Linked DNA regions of Lonchura striata. The protein of the gene in region 1 interacts with the protein of each later gene in a pairwise test. Links are inferred from orthologs where the notes say so. Each region holds a gene or a part of one and is shown on either strand. Other genes may lie near its edges.

Region 1 (7,625 bases):
AGCCTGGTCTCCTGGAATGTGTCCCTGCCCATGGCTGGGGGGATTGAAATTAGGTGATCTTCAAGGTCCCTTCCAACCCAAACCATTCACAGACTCAATTACATTTCTGTGAATACACTTTTTGCAAATGACCAGAAGGAAATGGAGTGGAGGAAGTAACATGTACATTTGTTCTAGGACACTGTCATTAAGAGAGAAATCTTGAAGGAAGGCTTGAATTAATTAATTTAAAAAATTAATTCCTCCTGGATCCAAGGAGCAGGTGTATTCCATGCTGTTGGGACAGAGCTGTGGTGTGGAAATCAAAACAAGAATAATTTTTTTAGAATTAGCTTCCCTAATTGGTATGTGCTGAGAGATCCAAGTGTGCTTCAGAGATGCTGGATGCAGATGGTCATCCCATATCTGTGAAAATCTAAATCCCCATGCTGCTCTTTCCTGCCATTTCTTGCATCAGAGGAGATACTTTTTTCTTTTTTAATAATTAAATTCTTGCTGGAAAAGGGTGCTATCCTTTGTACTGGCTTCTGCCATGATACTGTTGCAGATTGAAGCATGATCACAAAATACTCAGATCCTTGTATTTATAACTTGTGTAATAGTTTAAACAGATGTCTCTTTTCTAATGGAACACACTAAAATTTTCATCATGAAATACAAATATTCTTTTGGACCAAAAACTCCACACAGTACTTTGAAATAGTTACATGGAGAGTAAAGGAGCTGAAGTGTCTCGTTTTGCATTTGTATTCTGGAGCAGGACAGTGGCTTTTCATTTCTGGTGTCTGAAACCCTAAAGTCTATGAAACATACCTAAGAGATGCAAATAATAGAAAGCTTAAATCCACTCTCAGATCTGGTAACATTTTAATGGTCCACAAATTTAAAGGCTAAAAACTAGTAAAGTCAAACTTAAATTTAGTTTGAACTGAGATCTGAAAATATTTTTTAGTAATGGGAAGGGAGATCTAGAGAGCAACTAATCAAGCATCCTGCTCAAAGTGAGTATTTTTAAAAATCTTTCAAAGATAGGGATTTCACAGCCTTTCTGGGTATCCTGTTCCTGGACTGAATTCTCACTGTGGAGAATTTTTCCCATGTTCTACTGGGATTTCCCTTGCTCTGGCATGTGGCTGTGATCTCCTGACTTGCGCACTTTCCGTAAAAAGAGTCTGGATTCCTTGTGTTTGTAACTCCACTTTAAAGGGTAGAAGACCAAAGTTGTTTACTCCTCTAGTGGAACAAATCCAGTTCCTTTGGTGCCCCCATGTCAGATCCATTGAGCTCTGAAATGTATTTATGAATGTTTAGAATAATCTACAAGTTGCCAGTATTCTGAGTAACTTAAAGGCTAGCATAGACTAAAGAGTGCTCATTTTGCTTGTTTCAAAGTACTTTTTCCTGTGTGATTTTGAGCTGCACGATTTTATTTAGAGTAATTCTTGATGTCATTGGGGGCAGGTTATTAATTTTGGAGGAATGAGTACAATATCTGAAGTTTGGACAGATAGCTGTGTTTGCATTTTGCTTCCCTATCTGTCCCCTACTTGTTGCATCCAGTGCTTCTCAGGTAATAATAAACTTGTTTACTTGCCTGCCTTCTGTTGGCAATATCTGGCCCTGCTGTGTTTAATGAGTAATAAGTTTGTCACAAAACCTGAAGCACAAGTATCATACGCATCAGGAATGACTTTCTTTTAATAATCACTTTTCCAGGAGATGATTCAGTTTATTGTTGCAGGGAGTTGTGTAAAATGTAACTTAACAGAATATTAATAGAATGCTCTGTGAGATAACTGAGGATCTTTGGCTGTGGGGTGGTGGAATGCAACACTTGCTGAATCACCTCCATTAAACCCAAAGGCTCAATGATTGCACTTTAGTCTAAGCTTAGCAGAGAAAAAGGTCATCTTGATTCTCTACTGCAAAAAATGTTTACTCTAAATATATATAAAATGCTAAGCACGTTGTAGTGTATGTTGATGGAAGAGTGCCTGAGAACATGCATCACTCCTTGCTTTTTGAAGTGTTGTACTTTTCTAGGAAAAGCTATTGTATTGTGTTCCCAAGCAGCCACCCTACCCTCTCTACCTATTTTTCCCCTTTCCAAAACTAACAAAAAAACCACCAAACAATCAAACAAACATAAAACTAAGAAAAAAAAAACCTAATTAGTTTTCTTTTTCCCCACAAGGCTTTTAAAGAGGTATTTGGTATAGGTAATGTGCAATAAGAGGCTTTCAAGTTTGTTGAAATACGTCAGATGGCTTAATTATTTACCCATGTGTCTGACTGTGACATCTAAACCAGTCCTTGTGCCTCACCTGGCATGCCTTGCATGGTGACTTGAGATACATTCAGTTGTAGAGTTATTCAAAGACAAAAAACCTATTTTTTTTTGTTTTGGTCCTTTTTTTTTGTTGTTGTTGATTTTGGGTTTTTTTTGGTTGTGTTGGTTTTTTCTGTTTGTTTGTTTTTGTTTGGTTTTTGTTTTTTGTTTTTGTTTTTTTGGTGGAGAACATTAATAACATTTGTTTTTTCCTGACCTCCTCATGGATAGTGGTGCCATCCTCAGGGTACTGGAGCTGATGAAGCTGCTTTGTGTCAGAAGTGAATCCTGCCTGTAGTGTCTTAGATTTGTGAATGGTAAGTGTTACTCGAGGAACTGGCCAGAATGGCTGTTGTTTACTTAATAATGGCATTTCAGTTGTTGAATATCTCACTAAGCTAAACTGACTTCAGTGGATTAAAATATTTGCAGGCTCCAAGGAGACTGGAATATAAAAATAATAGACACCTGTTTTGTTTCTGTGTTTGGTACAGATCTAGTGAAGAGCTGACAGACTGCATCTAAATAATGTATTTTATCATTGAATCTTGCTTTTAAAATCTTTTTTCAGAGGAAGAGGGAGTGTTGGGACAGAAGTTCACTTTAGGAAGTAGTTAATTTCTGTTTAGTGAGTAGTGTTTAAGATATGAGGACATTATACCAGGATGGAACAAATTTACTAGCCTATTTCACTACTTATTGTAATCCTTGTATTAAATGTGGTTGTGCTTCCTTCTGAGGTGTTTGTGGAGTTTTCCTCAAGTCTCAGACCTTGAGATCTGTTTCCCTCAGTCTTCAGTTCTTTAAGAGACACAACTTCACAGACCAGCAGCCAATCTTGAGGACTTTCTGAGCAGTTTCATTTTAAATTGTGTGGGTGTGAAGAAATGTGATCAATGAGATCTCATGCAGATCCATAGTCTACTGTGCCTGGACTATTTCTGTTACCCAAGCTAATAATCTCAAATCAATACTGTTATTTTTTCACTACATTACAGCCTGCTGAAGACCATGAGTGCAGTTTTCTTTAACCTGCTGGACCCCAGAGTCTCCTTTTTTTGTAAATAATTTATAAGCAGTTTTTCAGGAAGGCTGTACTTACTTCTTATGCTTGTGTGAACTCTTCCCCTAAAACAAGCTTCACTCTTGCTGCTGGTAACTTCTGTGAACGTTTCTAAATGCTGTGGAGACAATATCTCCTCTGCTAAGCACACGCACATTAGTGGATTTTCTTTGTAGAAAAACATGACTCAAATCTCAGCTGATTCCTGTTCATAAAATTCCATAGTAGCAGCTCTGTGTTCTCCCTGCTTCTACAGCATGCAGGCGTTTATTTGCTAAATCAATTTTTCAGTTTTGGCACAGCAGAATGTCTCTAGCTGACTGTAACACAGATGTTGCTGTGATGCTGCTCAGGTCCTTCCCTCCAAAGGATTTGGGGTTCCCCTGTGCTGTGTGCCCTTCCAAAGGAGGCAGAGGGACAAAGTAAGCACAGACAGCTTTTGTTGGGCATTCCAGATTCTCTGGCAGAATTTGGAATTGCCCATGCTCATCCTGGATACCTGCAGCCTCTGAGACTGCAAGGGGAATACAGCTTTGCTTATAGTGACTCTTTAAATGTGTGCTGAATCCAGTGAGCTCATTGGGCTCACTCATAGTAACTCCTGAAAATACTCCTATATTTTTTTTTTTTTGTTCCATCATTTCCTTCTAAGAAATGACCCACCCCCTAATCTGGGAGTGAAAGCACCTTTTGAGTTTATCAGTGGTTTTTTTGCAGTGAAGTTTGTACGATGCCTGGTTTTTCCTGGAGGAGGCTGTGAAGCATCTGGTGGGGGCAGATGAAGTGTGTGGGGCGAGGTCAGAATCCCCTGCTTTGACTGCTCTGGAGTTCCAGTCCAAGAACTGCTGGACACAAACAGCTGCTGAGATGTCTCATTTTCCTGTTTCCCACAAAGGAAAAAACAGCAGCTGGGTTTAAAATGCCTGAGCTGATTTAAATGAGTTTCTGGTTATTTCTACACATATCTTCAGTTTCATCACCAGAGTGCAGAGTGAGGAGGGAGGAAGGACTCCCAACTGTCCATTTTAGTCAAAAAGACTATTTCTTACATTTCTGTTAATGCTTCTACTCTGTCCTCACCCTAAAGGAGAAAAATGTATCAATACTCTAAGGTGGCACAATAGAAATGCCATGGGGCTGAGAGCTTTGGGGACAGGGAGGTTGCTGGTACTTCAACAAACCCATGCTTGACTCTTCCTCATCTTGCTTTATGGTCATATGAGGCAAAAAAAGGTAAGAACATTTAGCATCTATACCTTTACCAGTTGTGTAATAGCAAAGCAGTGGGTGAATGTTTAGTTATCCTGTGGTTTCTCATGTTAGGATCTTATTAGCACATGCAAAAGTACATTGTAATATCAGTTCAGGGGGCTGAAAGCTGCTGTTTTGGATACAGAATTGTTCTGAATTGCAAACTAGGTCTGTCTTCAGAGCTGGAATGAACTGCAGATGAAACTCCTAGTGAAGAATAAAGAAAAAATGTTTTTAATGCTACAGTACAATAATGCTTCTAGGACAGGGGTCTGTCTCAGGAGGATAATATTGGAAGGTTTTTTGGTTTTTTTTCTCTCTTAAATAATTTGTATATGCCTAAATCTGGCAAAGAGTAATTACTGTGGGCAATTGAGAAAGGGCAGGGGTAGTTGGGATGAGGATGAAGAGTTGCTAGGACTTATGAAACTTCTGGACCTTATGAAATCACTCGAGTTTTGTTGTCAGCTTTGGAAATACCTGCGTTTTATGACTTCTACTTTTATAATGGCTCTGTTCAGAGCTGCCATGCCCAGGAACCTCTCAGAGATGAATCTGCACCTTGCTGACATCCACTGCATAGAGGGATGTGCAGTGGAGTTCTGGAATTGGAATGTGTAGGGGGGGGATATGCATGTGTGTGTGTCTATTTTCAAAATATCTGCTGCTGCGTGTTTGTGATGGAAAAGGGAAGCACCCTGAAGTACAAGGCTGAAAACTGTAGTGCAGTTAACAACAGGAGATGGTGAGTTGTTGTAAAGAGAATTGATTTCTCCTCTATAGCTGTGGACCTTGGGGTAATTTTATCTCCGATAGAGTGCAGATTTACCCCGGTTGTAACTCCTGGTAAGATCCAAGTTGTCACCTTCATCTTTGTTTCAAGCAGACCTCAAATAGTTTTGTTCTTAAAATTATTATTTTTTAAGGGAGTCTGAACTCAGCGTGTGTTTTAGCTTTTATTTTTAAGGATATTCTAGAAAGCTTTCTTTTTCTTAAAGGTTGTAAATTTGTGCATTGACTATTTAAGTGCATTTTATATGTAATCTGTTTTCACAAGATGTTATCTGGTTTACTGGTTCCTTTTTTCTTTTATAGAAAAGACTTAATGCAGAGCTTTTTTATTTTTTAATTATTTTTTTTTATTCTTTATTGTCTTAGGATGAATATTTAAACAGCGTTCTTCAATCTTGCTTCAAAATGTCCCTGTGCACATCTTCTCACAAGGACTTTTCTCAGTTGCTTCCACTTCAGGATATTGGATGCAATAAGACAGAAATTAAAAACTCACCTGCTGGTGTCATCTCTCCAGTCCCTTACAACTGCAACCAGTCCACGCTGACAGCAGAGCACAGCCCACTCTACATTCCCTCATCCTTCATGGAAAACAGGCACGAATATTCCACCGTGGCGTTCTGCAGCCCCGCTATGGTCAATTACAACATTGGCAGCAATTTTGGGGACGCGGAGGGCGTGACGGCGAGGCAAACCTCCAGCCCCAGCGCCCTGTGGGCTGCTCCTGGCCACCTGTCCCCCCTGAGCCTGCACTGCCAGTCCTCCCTGCTGTACCCAGAGCAGCCCAAGAGCCTCTGGTGCGAGGCTCGCCCCATGGAGCCAGTGCTGCCCGGGAGCAGGTCAGTGCTGCTTCTTGCTTTCAGACTTGCCCGGGTATTATTTACAGCTTCCTTAGCTCAACTCTTTTCTTTTTGCATTCAAATTAAAGTGTTGGTCCCTCTGAAAAACAAAACGACGCAAAAAGTAACTCCGCTAGACACTAAATCACTCAGGGAGTGTGTGTGTTTGTTTTTAATGTAACTTCTAAAATTAGGGGTTTTTTTCCAATACCTCCTTAGAGTACTATACACCAACACAGAGCATTACAAATATCTTCAGTGTGGGAGCAGTTTACATTGTGCAAATAAAAGTCCAAGACAGCTAAGTACTATTTTGTGTAACAAAATTAATTCTGCTCTGTCAGATTAAGTCATTTGAGTGAAAGAGGGAAATACTAATTCTTTTTGCCTTTTCATATAATATTGAGTTAATTTTTACCCAGATTTTTTTTTTTTTTTTACTGCTTCTAAGAGATGTGAAGGCTTTTTGTTAACTTGAAATCCAAGGGAAATGTTTTCTTTGATTTTTGGCTTTAGTATAAGCAGTCACACAGCAGCATGCAGGACATTAAAAGGGGGCTGCTGCTGAAAAAGCCTGACTTTGTTTCTTGCTGCTGCTCCCAACTAACTCCATAAAATTATTGTGAAGAGCAGAGTCACAGGCTAAATTTGCAGCTGACAAGAAAGTCTGTTTGCAAAAGCACATTCTTGTTCTGCACGTTTACTCATATTGCAAACCCAAATCAGCATCTGGATCATCAGCTGATGAAATTGCTCCATTCTTGGGCACAACACTAGCTGGGTGGATAAAAGCTCGGAGTCTGCAGGTGCTGTTCCTGCTTCAGCAGCTGTATGTTTATTCATAGGCCTCCTTATTTAACTTCAGCAGTCATTTGGAGTATGAAAAATAGTGTGTCCTGTAACAGTTTAAGTTCAATAGTTAATAAAGGATTTGTGCTATTTTTGAGACTACCCACACTCCTTCTGCAATGGGTGGGCTTTATGGAGTGCAAATGTGCTTTCAGTGTAGGTGTGTGGATTGGGAAAGACTCTTTGGGTAGCACTTACATACAGAAGAATTCCCCGAGCAGCTTTGATGTGAACAGGGGTAATCCAAACTCTTTTCACTTTGGTTAAGGTTCCAAAACTTAGACAGCCCTGGGAAGGTTAGGGTTTGAAGCTGTCCAGATGTTGGAATAGCAGCTGGAATAACCCAGGAGCAAGAGCACCCTGTCTGATGCTCTGCAGTGCCCACTCTACAACAGACAGAAGGGAAGCCAAACCTGTCCCACTGGAGTTTAAATAAATAATCATCAGCTATTTGTATGGATATATAAGGACTATTTCTCATGCAGCTGATGATGACCTAACT
Region 2 (7,931 bases), on another chromosome or scaffold:
TTCTCCTGCCAGTTGATGAGCAGGGACTCCAGCATGGTTATTTTCTGGATGTGCTTTCACACTACCAGGAACGTGACTCATCAGAACAATGTTCTCAGAAATATAATCTTCATGTTTGTGCAAGTGGGATGAAATGGAAGGAAATTCAGGAGTACAGGATGCTCTCTTCTGGATAAAAAAATCCTGGTATTTTGTTCTGGTAAAATAATTAATGTAAGGTAGTCATATCAATTTAGCGCCAGCCCCTTTGACTCTTCTATAAAAGGTGTCAAGTAGTGTTTATTTCCTGCCACTAAATGTAAGACCTGAAGTGTTATTCCTCATTTAGGGTCAAAAACCTGCAGACCTCTACCCCAAAAACACACATGGCAAAGTAAGCCTCACCCTAGCTCGTGCCTCAGAACAGATACAGCGTGCTGGAGGCATGGCCAAAACTCACCAGATGCTGCAAGCATATGATTCCTCCATGAGAGTTTATATGGTACAGCTGTCTTTAAATGTTTCTGTAATTGAAAAGACTCTAGCATCTGGTCCTTTGCTTATTACTCTTAGAATAAATAGTCACGATCTGAAGTCTACTTTTAAATAATGCAAGGAAAAAAAAAGTTAATTTGAGCTACTAAGGGTACATTCCTCTCAGATGACCTGCTTGGAAGTACTTGTAAAAATGGAAGTAGACTCTGTAATTAAAAAAATGAAAAAAAAAAAAAAATAGGAAGTGGAAAACAACTCCAGTAGGGAATGATAGATGTATGCATGCAAATGCCTTCATAATTTTAAATCTAGGTAGATGAAAAAGCACTGGTGTGTAGTTTTTATAACTTTCAGCCATAGAATATCTTACTCTTCCTTTTACACATCATTGTGTCATTCAACTCTACCACCAACAGCTGCAGACTTGCTGCTGTCAGGAGGAAAACAGGAGATGTCCTGTGGTACCCCCCTGCAAGAACCCTTCCCTGGACCAGTTCTTCCCTGATAACACTTGTAAGGCTCCCACTGATTTCAGGTACTCCCAGACAGTACCCCTGAAGAACAGCAGAATTTTGCACCTTACTACTTCAGATTTATGGATGAACACTGATATATGATGATCATTAATTTAAGCAAACCTCCTTTGAAGTCTTTTATTGAATAAACAGGATTCATCATAATTCCTTTTTTCTTTTTATTTTCTATTTTTTGGTGTGTGTGTGTGTGTGTGTGTCTCCCTAAATTCTGGAATAACTAGGTGATTTAATCCTCTGTGAAGGCACCTTTGGAATGGTGGCTAATCTGACATATTACGTGAATTGAACTAGGCTGAGTCAAGGACAGAATTTCATTATTTGTCTATGTAAGGCTGACAAACTATTTTAGAGGAAGATTTAGTCTGGAAATGCATTTCTGTAAAGCTTCTCGACCACAACCTAAGCCTCTCATATCATGATTGGATGCCATAAAGCAAGGCCTTAATTATTGTGATTGAAAAAGGTAGTTTCAGAGTGGTTAGCTTTTTGAGAGGCTGAGATAACCTTAAATAAAAATCAAAATAAAAGCAACTGTAGTTCTCCCAAGCTCTTCAAAGCACCTTATGTGATTTAAAAATGAGCTAGCATTAGCTTAAAAACATTTGGGAATAATAAAATAGCATTTGCATTTACTTTTTGATGATAATATGTATCTTTTTACCATATGGCACACACCAATGTGTTTTGTTTCAGTAAGTTGAAGACAAAGTTTGCTACTGAAGATGAATCCTTGCTTATCTTTTTTAAATGTACTATTGTAATCATCAGAATTATCAAAGATAAGTTGTAGGTACATCAACATTTATTTAACCATTTTTTAAATGGTCAGACAGATTAATTTTGTTCTTCAAGAATGTTAGAATCATAGTTATATTTTGGTTTTGATAGAAGTTTTCCTAGGTCAAAAATGCATTAGGATATATTTTTTTAAATATATAAAAGAAATGGTTTGCTGATATTACCAAAGTATGACACCAATAGCTCTCCACTAAATGTTTGCTTTTCTGGGAGTGAGTTCTAATGTAAGCTCTATAATAAGTTTCTCCCTTCCAAGACTGATGTAAAGGTAGTTTATGCTTCCTTGTCACAACTGGCCTTCCATTTAACATCATCTTATAGCGATGAATTCCCTTTGAAAAAAAATTGAGCAAAGTGTCCAAAATTTTGTGATGTCTGTAGGACAGTGAAGGTATAGACACCACCCACAGATGGTGGATTGGTACAGCCATGGATGCTCACCTTTTATGTTTGGGGAGTGAGAGTGTGTTTGGGTTTGGTTGAAGAACGTTCAGAAAGGACCAACAAGTTCACATCAGTACTTTCATACTTCTTGAGAGATGGAATTTACTACGTGATGCATTTTTTTCCTTTACTTGTACAGGGTATTTATTCGGTATATTGTTTGAATTCTCATAGTTAAGTAAACATGGACTAGCGGCACAATTCATTGTGATACAACTATTAAGCAGTGGAAACAACCTACTAAATCTTTATGTTTTATTATTTAATACAGTCTCCGTTGATTGTATCTTCTGAAACTTGTGTCCTCAAGCAACTATATGTTACCAGACAACAATCATTTTAACAAATACTCCACACACACATTTTTTTTTTATGTTGCTTGTCCAAGATTCCTCATTTTGTAGGTCTCTCATCTACGCAATACATTCCCTAAGGTTAAGAATGAAAGACGTCTCTACTACAGACACTCTTGATTGAAATAGCAGATAAATTGCTGCAGTAATGAGAAAATTTCCTTTTCCCCAGATAACTCAGCTGCTTAGCATTGAAAAAAATTTGAGATGAAGATTCTTTGTGAAATAAAAAAATTAGGGATAATTTCTTTACGATCAAAATTTGCTCATGAGCCTATAATGGAAAGGAAGAGAAAACCCATTCTTTTCATGGAAGTACAAGTAGGCTATATTATGAGACTTATGCTCTTAAAAAAAGGGACTTGTATAAACACTGTGACATGCAATGGCTTTAGAAAATGCTGCTGCATGTCTGGAAGAAAGTGGTTAAAAACACATGATGAAGTTAACCTAAATCTTTCATTGGCTTAAAAAAATAGGTCAAGTAATACATTACTAGCTCCACTCTAAGCCTGTACACAATCTGTACATTCCAAAGTGAGAGGTTTTATTTAACATTCCTACATCTACTTTCATTCATGTTATCACTCAGTTAAAATACTTAGCTTTTCATAAATGTGACTCCCTTTCGCTTTCTTTAAAGTGGAAATTCCTGTGCTCTTTAATATTAGTCTCCCACTAAAAAGACGCTTGAATAGATCATTTATTTTACCTGAGTTTTAAAACTAAAAGGTGGGCATGTGTTAATGCAGTAATTACCATGCAGTTTATATGTGACTTGCAAACAAATTTGTTTCTCTTTCGTCAGTCTTTGACTTGTAGAAGTGAAGTATCATGAAGTATTCTGTAAAGCGTTTGGCAGACAGTGTGCGACACGGCGAGACGTTTGTTAAACACAGGCACACAGGAGGTGTGATGAAGGTCGCATGCACTTTGTAGCTTCGTTTGTACAGCCAAGCTCAGCCTGTATCTCTGCGTACTCTCTTTGGTGGCAGCAAAGTCTAAAGAACAACTTGACATTCCGTGCAATTTCTGACAGCAGAGCTTTGGGGGACGTCGCCTAGCAAAATATAGGGCTGACTCTTCTTGGGAAGCACTGCTCTGCTCCGGGTTGGTTTATTATTATTATTATTATTATTATTATTATTATTATTATTATTATTATTATTATTTCCCTCCTAAACTGCATTTATTTGCCACGTGGCTTTAATGAGCTGGTGTGCCCCCCCGTCCTCCTTCCCCGCGGCACAGGGAGCGCCGGGCAGGGATGCTCGCCGCTCCCGGTGCCCTGGGAGAAGGAGATGCGCCGGGAAGCGGGGCAGCGCCACCCCGGAGCAGCCGCAGGTGCCGGGGCCGCTGCCGGGAGCATCCCGGCTTTTCCTTCAAAATAGCGTAGTAACAACAACAACAATAATGATAATTATAATGATAGCACTGAACTTTCTAGCCCGTGGTTTTTTTTCGGAGGAAAGGCTGAAAACTTAAGCTGTAAACTGACAAGTACTAGTAGCACGAATAGCGCCCTCCCCCCTATTATTCCAAAGCAGCCGAAGGGGGAAAGGAAAAAGAAAAATAAAAAAAGGGAAAAAAATAAAGTGTTATTTATAAGCCACTGCCGTTTTCATCCGATACGGGTCCTCCGGTGCTGTCGCTCGTGAGTTTCCCGGAGGCTCTGCGATCTCAGTCAGGTTAATTAGAGGGGGCAGGAGGGGCTGGGATTCGCGTACGTGCGGGCGGCCGCCCTGCCCTGCCCTCGCCGCGGCGGGCGGGGCGGGGGGCGCATCCCTGCGTGCCCGCATCCCGCCCCGCCTCCTGCCGGAGGTTACCAAAGGGTTAAGAAACTTGGCTGGAGAGATGAATGGCGCGGCGCGGGGAGGGGCCGGGCTGCGCCGCGGCGGGCGAGGTGGAAGGCGGAGAGGGAGGATCGCGGCTGCGGGTTAGGCTTTGAAAGTCAGCCTCGCAGGCATTGCAGCAGAGCCCCGAGCCGCGGAGAGCAGCGCAGCGGAGCTCGGCTCGCCCCGTATGTGCGCGGGGATGCGCGGGGCGGGGGGGACGCGCGGGGCCGGGGGTGGCGGGAGGCGGCGCGTCCTGCCCTGCCCGGCCCCGTCCTGTCCTCCGGCCGCGGGGACCCGCCTGGGCACTCGGCTCCGGCAGCCGCCGCTCCCCGGGGCTCAGCGCCGGGACCGGCCGCGGCAGCAGGGCGGCGTGCGCGGCGGCTGCGGCCGGAGCGGCTCCGGGGGGCTCGGGCGGCCCGGCCGGGAGGAGCCGCGGCGGCCGCGGGGTGAGCGCGGCGCTGTTCCGCCGGGGAAATGGCCGAGCGGGGCCGGGCCGGGCCGGGGCCGCGCTACCGGGGAACAATGCCGGGGGGAGCCCGGCGCGGCGGCGGCGCCCGCGGTGCGGGCGGAAAGTTTGCCCGGCCGCGGTGGGTTTGGGGGAGCCGCCGGAACGGAAAAGTTACTATTCCGCCCCCCCACCGGGACCCGCGCCGAGCGCACGGCCGGGCCCCTTCGGCGGGGACCCGCGCCGCCCCGCCCGGTGCGAGCGGCGGGCGGGCGGGCGCTCGGAGCGCGGCTGCGGCGGGCGGGCGGGCTCGCTCCGGGGCTGCGGGCAAGGCCACGCCGCCCCGCCGCCTCCCGGCGCTGGCGCTGCCCGCCCGCCGCCACCTGCGGGCCCGCCGCCAGCCCGGGGCCGGCCCCGCGCGGCGCGGCTCCCTGCGCCCCCCAAAGATGCCTTCTCATCGCTTCGGGCTCCTTAGGGACGTCGCTGTTTCCCTTCTAGACTAAAGGTTACTTTTCCAGACGTGGTGGTTCTTTTTTTTTTTTTTTTTTGGTGTGTCCCCGAAGCCCTCTAAAGGTGAATTTTAATTTTTTTTTCTTCCTGCCACTGCCACCCTTCGTTTTTCCCTGCAGAACGTGTTGTTTGAGGCTTTTCGTTCTAAGTGTCAGCGGGTGATTAAGTTGGGAGGTAGTGAGACCTAAGGAAACGTAGTGTAGGCAAAACGGGGGCAGCGTTGTAGCGAGCAGACAGCCTTGTGTTTGTGCTGCACCTTTCTTCTTCTCTCTTGTGTATTCCTGGGGATTTACTGGGCTTTTAATTTAAAGAAGGATTCAGATAAAATAGCTTGACACATGTTGGAGGTGTTGGGAAAAAACAGCAGGATTTCTGGCTTTGGGATTATGTTGTTGTTAAGAAGGCTGAAGTGGAAGTTGTCCTCTTTTGCCTCATCTCTCTGGAATCTGGCGACTATATTATTCCTTGTTTTATTTTGAGGGGACCTGCTGCAGTGTCAGACAGCTCGCAGGCTGATTAGAATTTAACTGAGTCATGGCACTATAAATGCTCAGAGATACGGTAAAGCTTTATTTAACAAAGAGTGTGAATCCAATCTGTGAAGACCTATGGGGAGGAAGCAGTCACTTGTGGAAAGGAGGTGGTGTATTCCTGAGCGAGTAGGGAACATTTTCTTTAATACACAAATGCGATTTACTGCTTCTAGGGCTGACTGAACACATGAGAGAGTGACACATTAAGATGCCAGATGACAAAAGCTCTCTGAGCTGAGGATATCTTGTGGTTGGGATCAGATTTTAATGGTATCTGAGTAATTCTGCTCCATGGGTATCAGTAGCTAACATCTTGGAAGGCACAAGTTCTCATCGAGAACAGTGTTCAGGCAGCTTTGGGGTTTTCGCTATCTGAGGCAGCTGTTTTCCCAAACTTGTGGTAGAGAAGTTTGACTTGTTCTGTCGGTGGTCTCCTGAGATAGAGTTGACATGGACTCGGAAGGAAGACTGAGTTGATCATGAGTGAAATGCGAATGTGAGGGTGTTTGTGTTCTGTGAGTTCCATGGAGGAGGTAAGGAGTAGTGACTGCATGTTTTGGGCAGGGTGAAATCTGACCTGCTGTTAGACTGGCCTATGCTTCTGGGTTACCTAATGAGCAAGAGCTATCAATGGCTTTCAGGTTTTGTAGGCCATGCATGCACAGAATGCAACATGCAGTCAAAAGCCAAACCATGCTGGATTGAGGTTTTTGGGTTTTTTTCCCTTTTAGTCTTTTGGCAGAAAATTGCAGATGGAAAGATGCTCTTCTTCTCTGCTTCCCATGCTTGTTTCTTTTTCTAAAGTGAAAGGTGTGCTAAGCAAAATTTATTATAGTCATAAAAACTATGTTGATAAAGAAGTAAAAGTAAATAATGCTTTTATATTGTAAACTTAAAAGGGTGATCTAATCACTGGCTGTATCACCTGCAGTGTTTGATAGTTGTGTTTGGGATAAATCTGTTCTGTAAAAGGCATGAAGACATTTTTTTAAGTGATTCAGTTAATTCAAACATGAATTAACTTTATAATGCTCGTATTTGCCTGTAGTTTTGCTTATTGCAGGGATTGCTTAAAAGAATTGACAGAGTCCTGCTTGCTTAAAACTTATTTTGTCTCTTCAGAGCTAACTTTATTTTTCAGGCTTTGAGCATTGGCAGAAAGTTCATATAGTGCCAGCTTTATTATCATAAGCAGTGAGAGCACTGTTAATTCTACCAGCGACAGTGCGGGACATGACTACAATAAAAGAGAAAACCTGTTTTGCATTGAGCCCAGCACATGTATAAACTTGCCCAAGGCATTTCCCCAGGTCAGCTGTCCTGCTCTAGGGCTGTGCTAAAGACCATAAAGACCATAAGATCTTTGAATTATTATTTTAGAATAGCTCTTCAGAGCTCGCCTGTACTTCAAACCCCAGAAGTCTTGTGGTTGTGTTTCTTTTTCCTGTGTGTGAATGTACAGGGAATGGAAGGAATCCAGAAGAGAGCCTGGGGAAGTGTGGGGTTCCCAGCTGGGTGCTTGGTTTTGGGGGAACAAACCCCTTTTTCAGGGGGGGCTTTGGTGGCCGCCCTCCCATGTGTGGGGCCTGTGGTAGGGCAGGGATCATCTCCCACGTGCTGAGTGATGGGTTAGGTGGTGAGCAGGTGGCAGGGTTAATAGGATAGCTATCCTAAAATACCCTTTTGGGACAAGAAGTGTAAATTTTGAAGTATAAATCATTGCTGCTCAGGAGGAGGCAGTGACAAACAAGCAGAAAGGTACACAGGTAGGGAATGAAGCCTGAGCAAGAGGAGAAGGTGTGAAAGAATATGCATAAATGTACAAAAAAATAGAAAGCATAAATTTGACAGTCTGTCTAAACAGTCTTGAACTAAAGACAAAAAGGTTAATGGTAACAGCATTTGTGGTTTGCTCTTTCTTCCTGCCAGCAGGCCAAAACGATAAGAACAGTAACTCTGAGCTGGCCTGCAGCAGCAAACAGGGGGAGAGCTGGGGGAAGGTG
Region 3 (8,635 bases), on another chromosome or scaffold:
TTTCCCCTCTCCAGTTTCCAAACCTCCCGAAATCTCCCAGCTCTCTGTGTAAGAAGCAGTGCCTGGTGTTGGGCTTCCTCAATTTTCATTCTTAATTGAGCTGTAAATTCACCTCATAAACTCTTGCAGATCTAGTGGTCCTACATTTACAACTTTTTAATTATCTTCTTAATTAACAGAAGCCTCAAGGTCCCAGTACATTTTTGTCAGATGAGTCTGTTATGAAACACATTAACTTGGATTTCACTGGTTTTAATAACATCCTCCCCTCAGCCTGGTTCTGTGCATCAGCATTGCTCTATTTCTCTTCATGTTGATGAAAGTGCCAGTGTATATCACAGCACAACAAACCCAGATTCTCCTTTATCAGCAGCTCCTGAACAAGCCAGGGGTGCCTAATCAAGAGCATAAGGTTAAAAGGTGTTATTTTTTTTCATAACGCTGAATTCAAATGCAGTGCTAGTGTTCAAAAGATACTATAAATGAAAACAAACATGGGCCTGGGTGCTGCATTACATTCTTTGCAGAGAGGTGTGACTGGTGAGCAGGGGCTCCAGAGGATGGGCAAGGGGAGCAGAGGGACTCCTGGCCTCAGGCCAGAGGTACCCTGTGCACCATGGCAAAGGGCTGCTCCTTACAGGCTTCCTTGTTTTATGTTCATTTTCCAAGGGGAGTCTCCTGACATAACTGCTTTATATGATTCCAGCTCCACAGTGGGGCAGCAGTCTGGGTCTAGAGTAGTTTGGCCAATGAATCCCACCCACACGTGGTGTGTGCTTGTGAGAAAAGGCATTGGAGGGAGGCAGGGAGGGAGAGTTCAAGGATCACTAACACGTCACTGCTACTGTATGATTCAACCTGCTTAAACAAAAGAACTTGGATTCCATTCTCCCCAAAAACTACAAAGGTAACTGAGCATCCTGGGAGCTCAGAGTGCCAGCTTTGACATACAGAGCTGGATGTCTGCCCAGGATGGGATTGTCCTGACTTGATTTTTTGGTGTATTTCATTAATTAGGCTGGTATTATTTTTACTTTTTAGGAACAAAGCCATGCCTAGGAAAGTGTTCCCTGTAAGTACCTATTTGCAGTAGCAATATCCCTTTAGCAGAAAACAGGATTTGCACAAGCTGCATTTTAAACTGTTGGTACCACAGTTAATCCTAAATGCTGTAAACTGTAATGGCCTATTTCTTTATGTCGAGTTGCTCTTTTCCTCCCAATATCCCATTTTCTGTCTGCAAAGCAGCTTATGCTGCTTCAGCTACAGTGCTGACATTCAAAACCTTGCATGATTGGCAGCAGTAAAACTTTATTTGGCTCCCTTTTCAGTCTGAGAAAGAAATTGCTGTGGCACAAAAACATTTAGTAGCAAAACCAAATGTGTGGTATTGCTTCCATTGTTGTTCAGTTGTTGTTTTCTCCTTGTGTTTGAGTATCTCGAGGAAGGACTGATGGTGATGGCTGACAGCTCTCTGCAGGAATTGCTTTTCCCCTGTGAGTGATTATTACGATTGTTAGTGACAGCACAGGGGGACATGCTGCTCCTCAGGATACATAAAAATATAAGGGATGTTACTTTATGTGGTTTGGAACTCATAACTGTCCACTGATGTTTTCTGGATGTTGAATTAACTAAGACATTACAACAACTAAACCCATTTTCACCCAGTTTCCCTCTTGAAGGAAAACCTAACCCTCATTTGTTAGACTGCAGGCTTGATGACTGACTTGACATTGTTAAATGAAATCAAATAAGCAAACAGGCCTGTTTACAATTTCACATATTTACAAATCTTTAATAGTGAGATGATGTGTTAGCTGCTTCTTCTGGCTTCATGAATACATATTTTATCAAAGGCCCAACTACCAAGACAAAAGGAGAGCTACACTGAGATTCAGGGGATGTCAGATGTCTATCAAATGTTAGCAGGATGGACTCAATTTCTCCAGTTCCACATCAAAGAAATAGTAATATTAATACCAAGAATAGAAATTTATGTGTTTTTTAAATGCTTGGATTTAAACTGCTTTTTACTGTGTATACATCATGTCTGTCACATTGGTGGTGTGCTCATGCTAGACTCATCACGCTGTATAAAAATGTAGATTTCACCTATTGGAATTATTTGCCTACCTGCTTTCAAAACCACTACTAGTTTGGATGTAACCTGTACTATAAATGGAAAAAAGGTAAATAACTTATTCTGGAGAAGATTACTTAAATGTGAATAGTTAGGTTGGAGGCAATCTTTTAAATCTAAACTTTCCAAGCAAGTTCTAAATATTGTGCGAATTGTATCAGGTCATTATCATTTTGTCATCAAAAGTCGGGAATAAAACTAACACTGTAATTTCAGTATGAGAAAGTGGAATAATTTTTATTTTCAGCACAGGGCATGAGGGGGATGTCTTTTTCTGACCCCTGCACTGTAGCAGGGGAGAACAGATGAGTTTAAATCTGTGTAACTGATTCAGACTTACGACATCTCCCCAAAACTCATACAGACGTGCTAAATGTTCCTGCCAATTCTTCTGCATATTTAAATCACCTTCCAGAAGAATTGCTGAGGCCCACAGTTTCTAAGGCTAAGATAACCATTTGCACACATGAATAGAGGCCTAAGCACTGTAAGCTAAAGGAATTATCACTGTTCGATAAAATTAAAGGTTTTCCCAAAATGTGCATATGTGAGGGATGGCAAACAGCAGAAAAACAGCAGTACCCCATGGCTGGTGCTCCAACCAGTGCAGCTCCCCTGCCACTGGGAGGAATCTTTTTCTTTGTTCCCTCTTTCTTTCGCCTCTATTACTTCTTTTTCTTTTGTTCTTTCTTTTATTTCCTGGTAGCCCCCTCAAGTTTGTGCCTCAAACTTCACATCCTATGTCCTTTCTATAAAGACAACAACTACTCTCCACTTATCATTCTCTTCATCTCCCACGTCTGTTGCTGTTCTAGGTTTGCTTTCCTGGAGAAGTGAATTTTCTGTGGGATTGTGTCCACAGGCACAGAAGGCAAACCCCCTGGTAACCACTTTTGTTTCCTTTAGCAGTGCAAACAATGCCATGCCTGAGGTTAAATGAGGTTAAATGCCTGAGTTTGAGCTGTACAAAGGCTGTTTGCTCTCGTGTTCAGCCCTGAGTGAACTTCCTCCTGTGTCCCCCCACACAGGTAGAAAGAAGAGAGAAGAGAGAAAAGAAGCTGTTTAGGGGATGTTAGCAAGAAAGATGAGAGCTGCTTTCATCAACCCAGCTCCAGGTTACTGGAGACCTCTGCATGAGAAACGGGTGGAGGAATTGGTCCCACTTCTGGTGCTGGGCACCACAGGATCAGATGAGGAGCCAACATCAGGAGCATCAGAACTTAAAGCAGTAGAAAGTAATATTCTGAATATCCAGACCATAAACAACATAGAAATCCTAGAAATCGGGATCAAGAATCTACAAAGAATGTTTATTATTAGGTAAACATGCTTAAACCTAAAAGACTAAATTACTAGGAGCATGGTCATTTTCTTATTCTCTTGAAACAATTCCTTTCTTACTGTTTTAGGCATTCACCTGATGATTAAATCTGCTCACTGGACAAAATAAAAAGGTACTGACCATTTCAACCCCCTGATCTAACAAAAAAGTACTGACTGTCAGTTATATCAATGATCCTAGCGAGATAAGAAAAGACATTATTTGATATGGGAAAGACTGATAAATTACTCTGTATTTTGTGAATCATGGCATCTTTTTTTCGGCCACTGCAGGTGAACAGGTTTCTTCCATACTTATAGATGTGTGAAATGAAGAGACATGCTGCTGTCTTTGTTCTTTCTGATAGGACAATGATAGTCTCATCTAAGAAACAGTGTTCATCTCTAGGTCAAAAAGTCATGTTTGCTCAGCAATACAATTTGAATTTCAGTGTATAAGTCTGAACCAAGCTAAATATAACTATGCTATATTCCTGTAAAAAAGAAGGGTAGTATCAAAAGCTACCATGTATTTCTAATTTCCCAACCATGTCAAAATAATTCTATACCTATTTCTTAAGAGATGTTTAAAACCTATTTCTTGGTGTCTGCTATTAATCCTCTTAGTGGACTCAGTGTAGATGTGTGGGAAAATGCTAGTCAGCTTTAGATTAGATTCTTATGTACCTGAGGAAAAAAGCAAAATAAAATCCCCAAATCCCTGTCAAATCTGGTGCTTAGGTGAAATCCAGTGCAGGGGCTAGAACAATAGCTTGGGGTTTAGGTTTGGGTTGTTTCTTTGTTTGTTTCTTTGTTTGTTTCTTTGTTTGTTTTAAGTGGAAAGTTCAGTATTGAAATGGAGGCCTTATTTTGGGAAGTAGAATACAAAGACTACTGAGGATGTAGAAGGTGAGCTGCACTTACTGAATCCCCAATCTTGGGTTTTATGCATGCACCAATTACTGTGATCAGATTTATGTGCCTTACATGAAATACAGTTTTCTTTGAAGAAACTTTCCTTTGCCATACGTGGACACCAGCAGCTCCAATCTGTTGTACATGAATGTACAAAAGAGGATGCAGAAGATCTGTTCATCAGAGCTTGTAATCAGGGCCAGCTTTCTCCAAGTCCTTTGTTTCCCAAACAATTTAGTATTGTATATTCTTCTTCCTGTAACTATGAAGTCCACACAAATATATTTTTCCTCCTGAGGGCCTGCCTTATAAACAAGGTAAAATTGTTCCAAAAACATTTGTTCTCCTTTCAGGGTGGACATAGAACTTGGCGTTATTACCTGTATGCAACCTGCTGTCCTCTGACTAAAGGGCAGAAATTAAGTACATTAATTAATTAATTTTAAAAGGACTGAATCGGCTTTGCTGTTGATAGAAATGGAAAAAAAAAAAAAAAAAAAAAAAAAAAAAAAAAAAAAAAAAAGTAAATGCCACGAATAGCGAAACTGTTGAATTACCGGAGTTTCTCGGCAGGGCTGGCAGCGATTTCCTGCCCCGAGCCCAGCCCTGCCCTCGCTCCCACCCCTGCAGCGGTGGGAGTTCCCCAGCGGCACAGGACGGACACGGGGACAGCGGGACACGGGGACAGCGGGACACGGGGACACCGGAGCTCCTTGCCGAGCGGGGTTCCTTGCAGGCGCTCCTCTCAGGTATCCCGGCGTTTTCCTCTCAGGGATGCTCAGTGACCCGCAGGGCTGGGGCAGGGGCTTGACGAGGAGAAGCCCCGCGCTCGTGCGGCTGGGCAGTGCGGGTTGAGCTGGAATTTATCGCTTTAGAGGAGGATCTGGCTGGCAAGGACGGCGTTGAGGGGCGGTGCAGCTCCGGTGTCCCGGAGAGCCCCCGGGGCGAGGCAGGGCTGCGCCCGCCGCTCCCGCAGCCGCTGGTGCGCGCCCGGCTGAGCCCCGCGCCCGACCCGGCCGCCGCTCCCAGGCGCTCCCAGGAGAAAAGTCACTGTAATTTGAGAGGGCACCCAACTGCATCAGAGCCAAAAAAAAGAGTAATTCCTTCTCTGAATAATATTTTGTTAGCATTGGACAAAACGAACTAATTTAATTGGATTGCTGAGATGATTTTTAAGCATACTTCAGCAGTCAGGGTTCAAATCCAGGGGCTGAACAGTCTAATATAATGCAACATTAAAAAAAAACCAAAACAAACAAACAAACTTCAAAAGCAGAATTATTGCATACCTCCTGGCTATTCAGCGTCCTTGCTTTTGAATATTACAACTTGGAAAGGGCCGGGCCTGGTTTGTTATATAACTAAGCATGTTTGTTCCTGGGACCTTACATTACATTAACGTGCTCCTTCCATTGTTTTAGTGAGCTGGATAAGAAATGAAACTACTTGTCATGCTAGTATTCTGTTTTTCTGATGAAGAGCAGAAGCCCTATAGTTAACATAATTATGACATGTCTAAATTACTTGCAGTATATCTAGTGACATGCATCAGGCTAAGGGACCTGTAGCTGTGTTGTGTAGTTCTGAAAATGAGAAAGTGACCGAAAAGAAACATGGACATTCATAAAAAAGGATCCAGGGATGAAATGAGGGCTGAGCTTTGTAAAATTTTTATTGCTTCCTACTACAGAGCATAATAACCTTTTCTAAATACTAGATTGTACAGTGGCTTGTGTGTGTAGTTGTAGGGACAATGAAAGATTCTGGATGACTACAAAGCCCTTCTTTTAAATAAATTGTGTGAGTCTGTCTCTATTCTCCCTTTACCAAAGGGTTTAGTTGTAATTCTCAGTATTTCACTGATGTTCATGTAGCTGGACTATCTCACAGCTTAAACTGATCTTTTGCTAGTTTTATTCTTCTATAATTTGTGATGTTCCTACATTCATACAGTGACTACATTCCAATCTACCCTATGACCAGAACCCAATTAAAGTATGTGTAAGAGGATGGGGTTTTGTTAGTAAAGAAGAGTTCGTGAAGTAGAAGAAAAAGTATATTAAAAAGGAATGTTTTAAGAGCAACTGAATCTGCATTAGACATCACCGTGTGAGATCTGCATTAAAAGTGGAAAGAAAAGCAAGAAGGAATTGCTTTCAGTTTCGCTTCCCAGCTTTGAGCAACCATCTTCATTGAAAGAAACAGAAGAATCATAACCAACAAATTATATTCATGGTTTCACTTGAACTGGATTATTTTTAGAGAACAACTAGACTGATTTTTTAATTTTAAATCTTTCAATCCTATTAAGAATGAGTGCCTGTACTATTCTTTTATGCAGTTCTATGTTTGGACCTCCTGAGCGTTTTGGATCTCTCTCTAATAGTTGCTGCTGTTGTCTTGCTTCACTCATTATCCCAGAGAAAGAGATAACTCTCAAGGTTTAAGCTCATACCAGTAAGTGGGGTTTTGTATGCTTTTGCTTTGTTTTGTTTTAGGTTAGGTTGTTTTTGTGGTTTTTTTTTTTTTTTTTTTTTTTTAATTCCTTTTGGCAACTACACTTTGTTATCCAAATACTGGATATGTGTTATTTTGTAGTACAACTAGAGAAATGGAGTAGCTTAAAGAGCTGAATAGGTGGTAGAATGGCTGCTGCAGGGCTTACCTGAACAGATTTTGTCAACATCAATACACTGAGCCAGGTGCCTAAAATTACTGCAGTAAATTGTTCATATGAATTACAGGATATTTCTGAATGGCTGCAAAATGGAGTCTTGCACATCCCAATGCTTTTCTGAGTTGAGGATGATTTCAGGGTATTCAAGGCATGACTGTAGGCATAGAAAGCTCAGACTTAAGTAGTAGTTCAGACATAGCCTAGAAGGAAGCTGACATATTGAAGTTTACTTTTGCTAGTATTTGTAATTTTGCCTTCCCATACAGTTTAGAGAGGCAAATATCTTTTATCAATAATAGAGAACTCTGAATAGCTCTTGTATGAAATCATATATTTAAAAAATCATGAAACAAAAATTTTGTTTTGCAGAACTGCAAGCAGATCTGTGACAATGCAAGGTGAGTAAAATATAACCAAAATGCCAACTTTTGCTAACATCAAAGACAGCACATTCAAGCAATATTAGCTTAGCTATTAGCTTACCTTCTAATTATATGAAATATGTATGAATGTTTTAACTTGAAATTATTTACATTTTAAAATGGAATATTTTACAAAATGCAGAGCTTATATTTCAGATCTTGATTTCTGAAGTTAAGTAAAAATAATAAATAATTTAGAAATCTTGAAATTCAAGTTATTTCTGGTTATAAACTAAAGCTGGTAAATGTTTTTAAATCCCTAACACTCTTCATCTGCTGGTGAGGCATTAGTATAGTCTGAACTTGAAGGAGCTGGGAGAAAAGGTTTTTTCACAGAGGGGAATGGCTCACTGTCATCCTATTGGAGGGCAGCCTGTCAGTTCCTGGCAATGCTTTGAATTCCAGCCACTTTCTAAATATCAATGAACAAAGGCATCTTTGCCCCAGGCAGAGTGACCTGACCCTGCTTGGGCAGGGCTTGGACTAGCTGATCTCAGGAGGTCCCTTTCAATGATTCTGTGATTCTGTGACATCCTGTGCAGAACTCCATTAAATTTTGCTGATGCATGCATTGTTCATAAATATGATCTTGATGCATATTTTTGCTATACAGGAAACAGCTCCCTAGATTTTTTTCTATGTTTACTCTGGAAAGGGAGTCAGTGCTGGGGATCCTTCACCCAGGGCAGAAGGAAATGATCCATACTCAGAGCATATTTTCATTTTTCCAGGACCTCAACCTGCCACAGCACCTGGAATGCCCTATGGCTCCCCTCAGTCAGTCCCTGGGACTTACCAAGGTGGGTGGCTTGATTACAGATCTGTGAGACCATTAGGAAATAGGCATGGGGAATATGGGGTTGGAAAAGGGTGATCATCTCCAATTTAATTTTCTGCTATTAATTCTATAGAATGTCTGAAAAGACATTTCTTTCCTTTGTGGTTCACGTGTACTGGTTCATGTGTTGTAATGTAATGTGAAATTTGGTGCTGAGCTGGTGTGGCCTGAAGGTCTACAAGTCATCTGGTTTGAAAAATGTAGATGAACTTTGCTAAAAGGACATTTCCTTTCACAAAAGTAGAAGATATAGTTCCAGGAAAACTTTGTCTTAAAATTTCTCATTTGCTCAACTGACAGCATATAAGTACCAATGCTTT

The links.
Region 2: the proteins of ESR2 (region 1) and NRIP1 interact in a two-hybrid assay, tested with the Homo sapiens proteins (2 studies listed by BioGRID, with this or other methods). The link is inferred for Lonchura striata from reciprocal best matches to the Homo sapiens genes ESR2 and NRIP1.
Region 3: the proteins of ESR2 (region 1) and PLSCR1 interact in binary tests that used the Homo sapiens proteins (3 or more experiments, as listed by UniProt). The link is inferred for Lonchura striata from reciprocal best matches to the Homo sapiens genes ESR2 and PLSCR1.

The regions. Positions count from the first base shown.
Region 1 is NC_134608.1:7,192,553-7,200,177, reverse strand, and holds the start of ESR2 (estrogen receptor beta), read left to right. Parts: upstream 1-4,271; 5' UTR 4,272-4,610; coding exon 4,611-4,625; intron 4,626-5,801; coding exon 5,802-6,274; intron 6,275-7,625.
Region 2 is NC_134604.1:8,744,556-8,752,486, forward strand, and holds the start of NRIP1 (nuclear receptor-interacting protein 1), read left to right. Parts: upstream 1-4,344; 5' UTR 4,345-4,625; intron 4,626-4,824; exon of another isoform or gene 4,825-4,886; intron 4,887-5,431; exon of another isoform or gene 5,432-5,458; intron 5,459-7,931. UniProt on the Homo sapiens protein: Modulates transcriptional activation by steroid receptors such as NR3C1, NR3C2 and ESR1. Also modulates transcriptional repression by nuclear hormone receptors.
Region 3 is NC_134612.1:13,964,630-13,973,264, reverse strand, and holds the start of PLSCR1 (phospholipid scramblase 1), read left to right. Parts: upstream 1-5,048; 5' UTR 5,049-5,127; intron 5,128-6,755; exon of another isoform or gene 6,756-6,835; intron 6,836-7,424; 5' UTR 7,425-7,446; coding exon 7,447-7,453; intron 7,454-8,208; coding exon 8,209-8,277; intron 8,278-8,635. UniProt on the Homo sapiens protein: Catalyzes calcium-induced ATP-independent rapid bidirectional and non-specific movement of phospholipids (lipid scrambling or lipid flip-flop) between the inner and outer leaflet of the plasma membrane resulting in collapse of the phospholipid asymmetry which leads to phosphatidylserine externalization on the cell surface.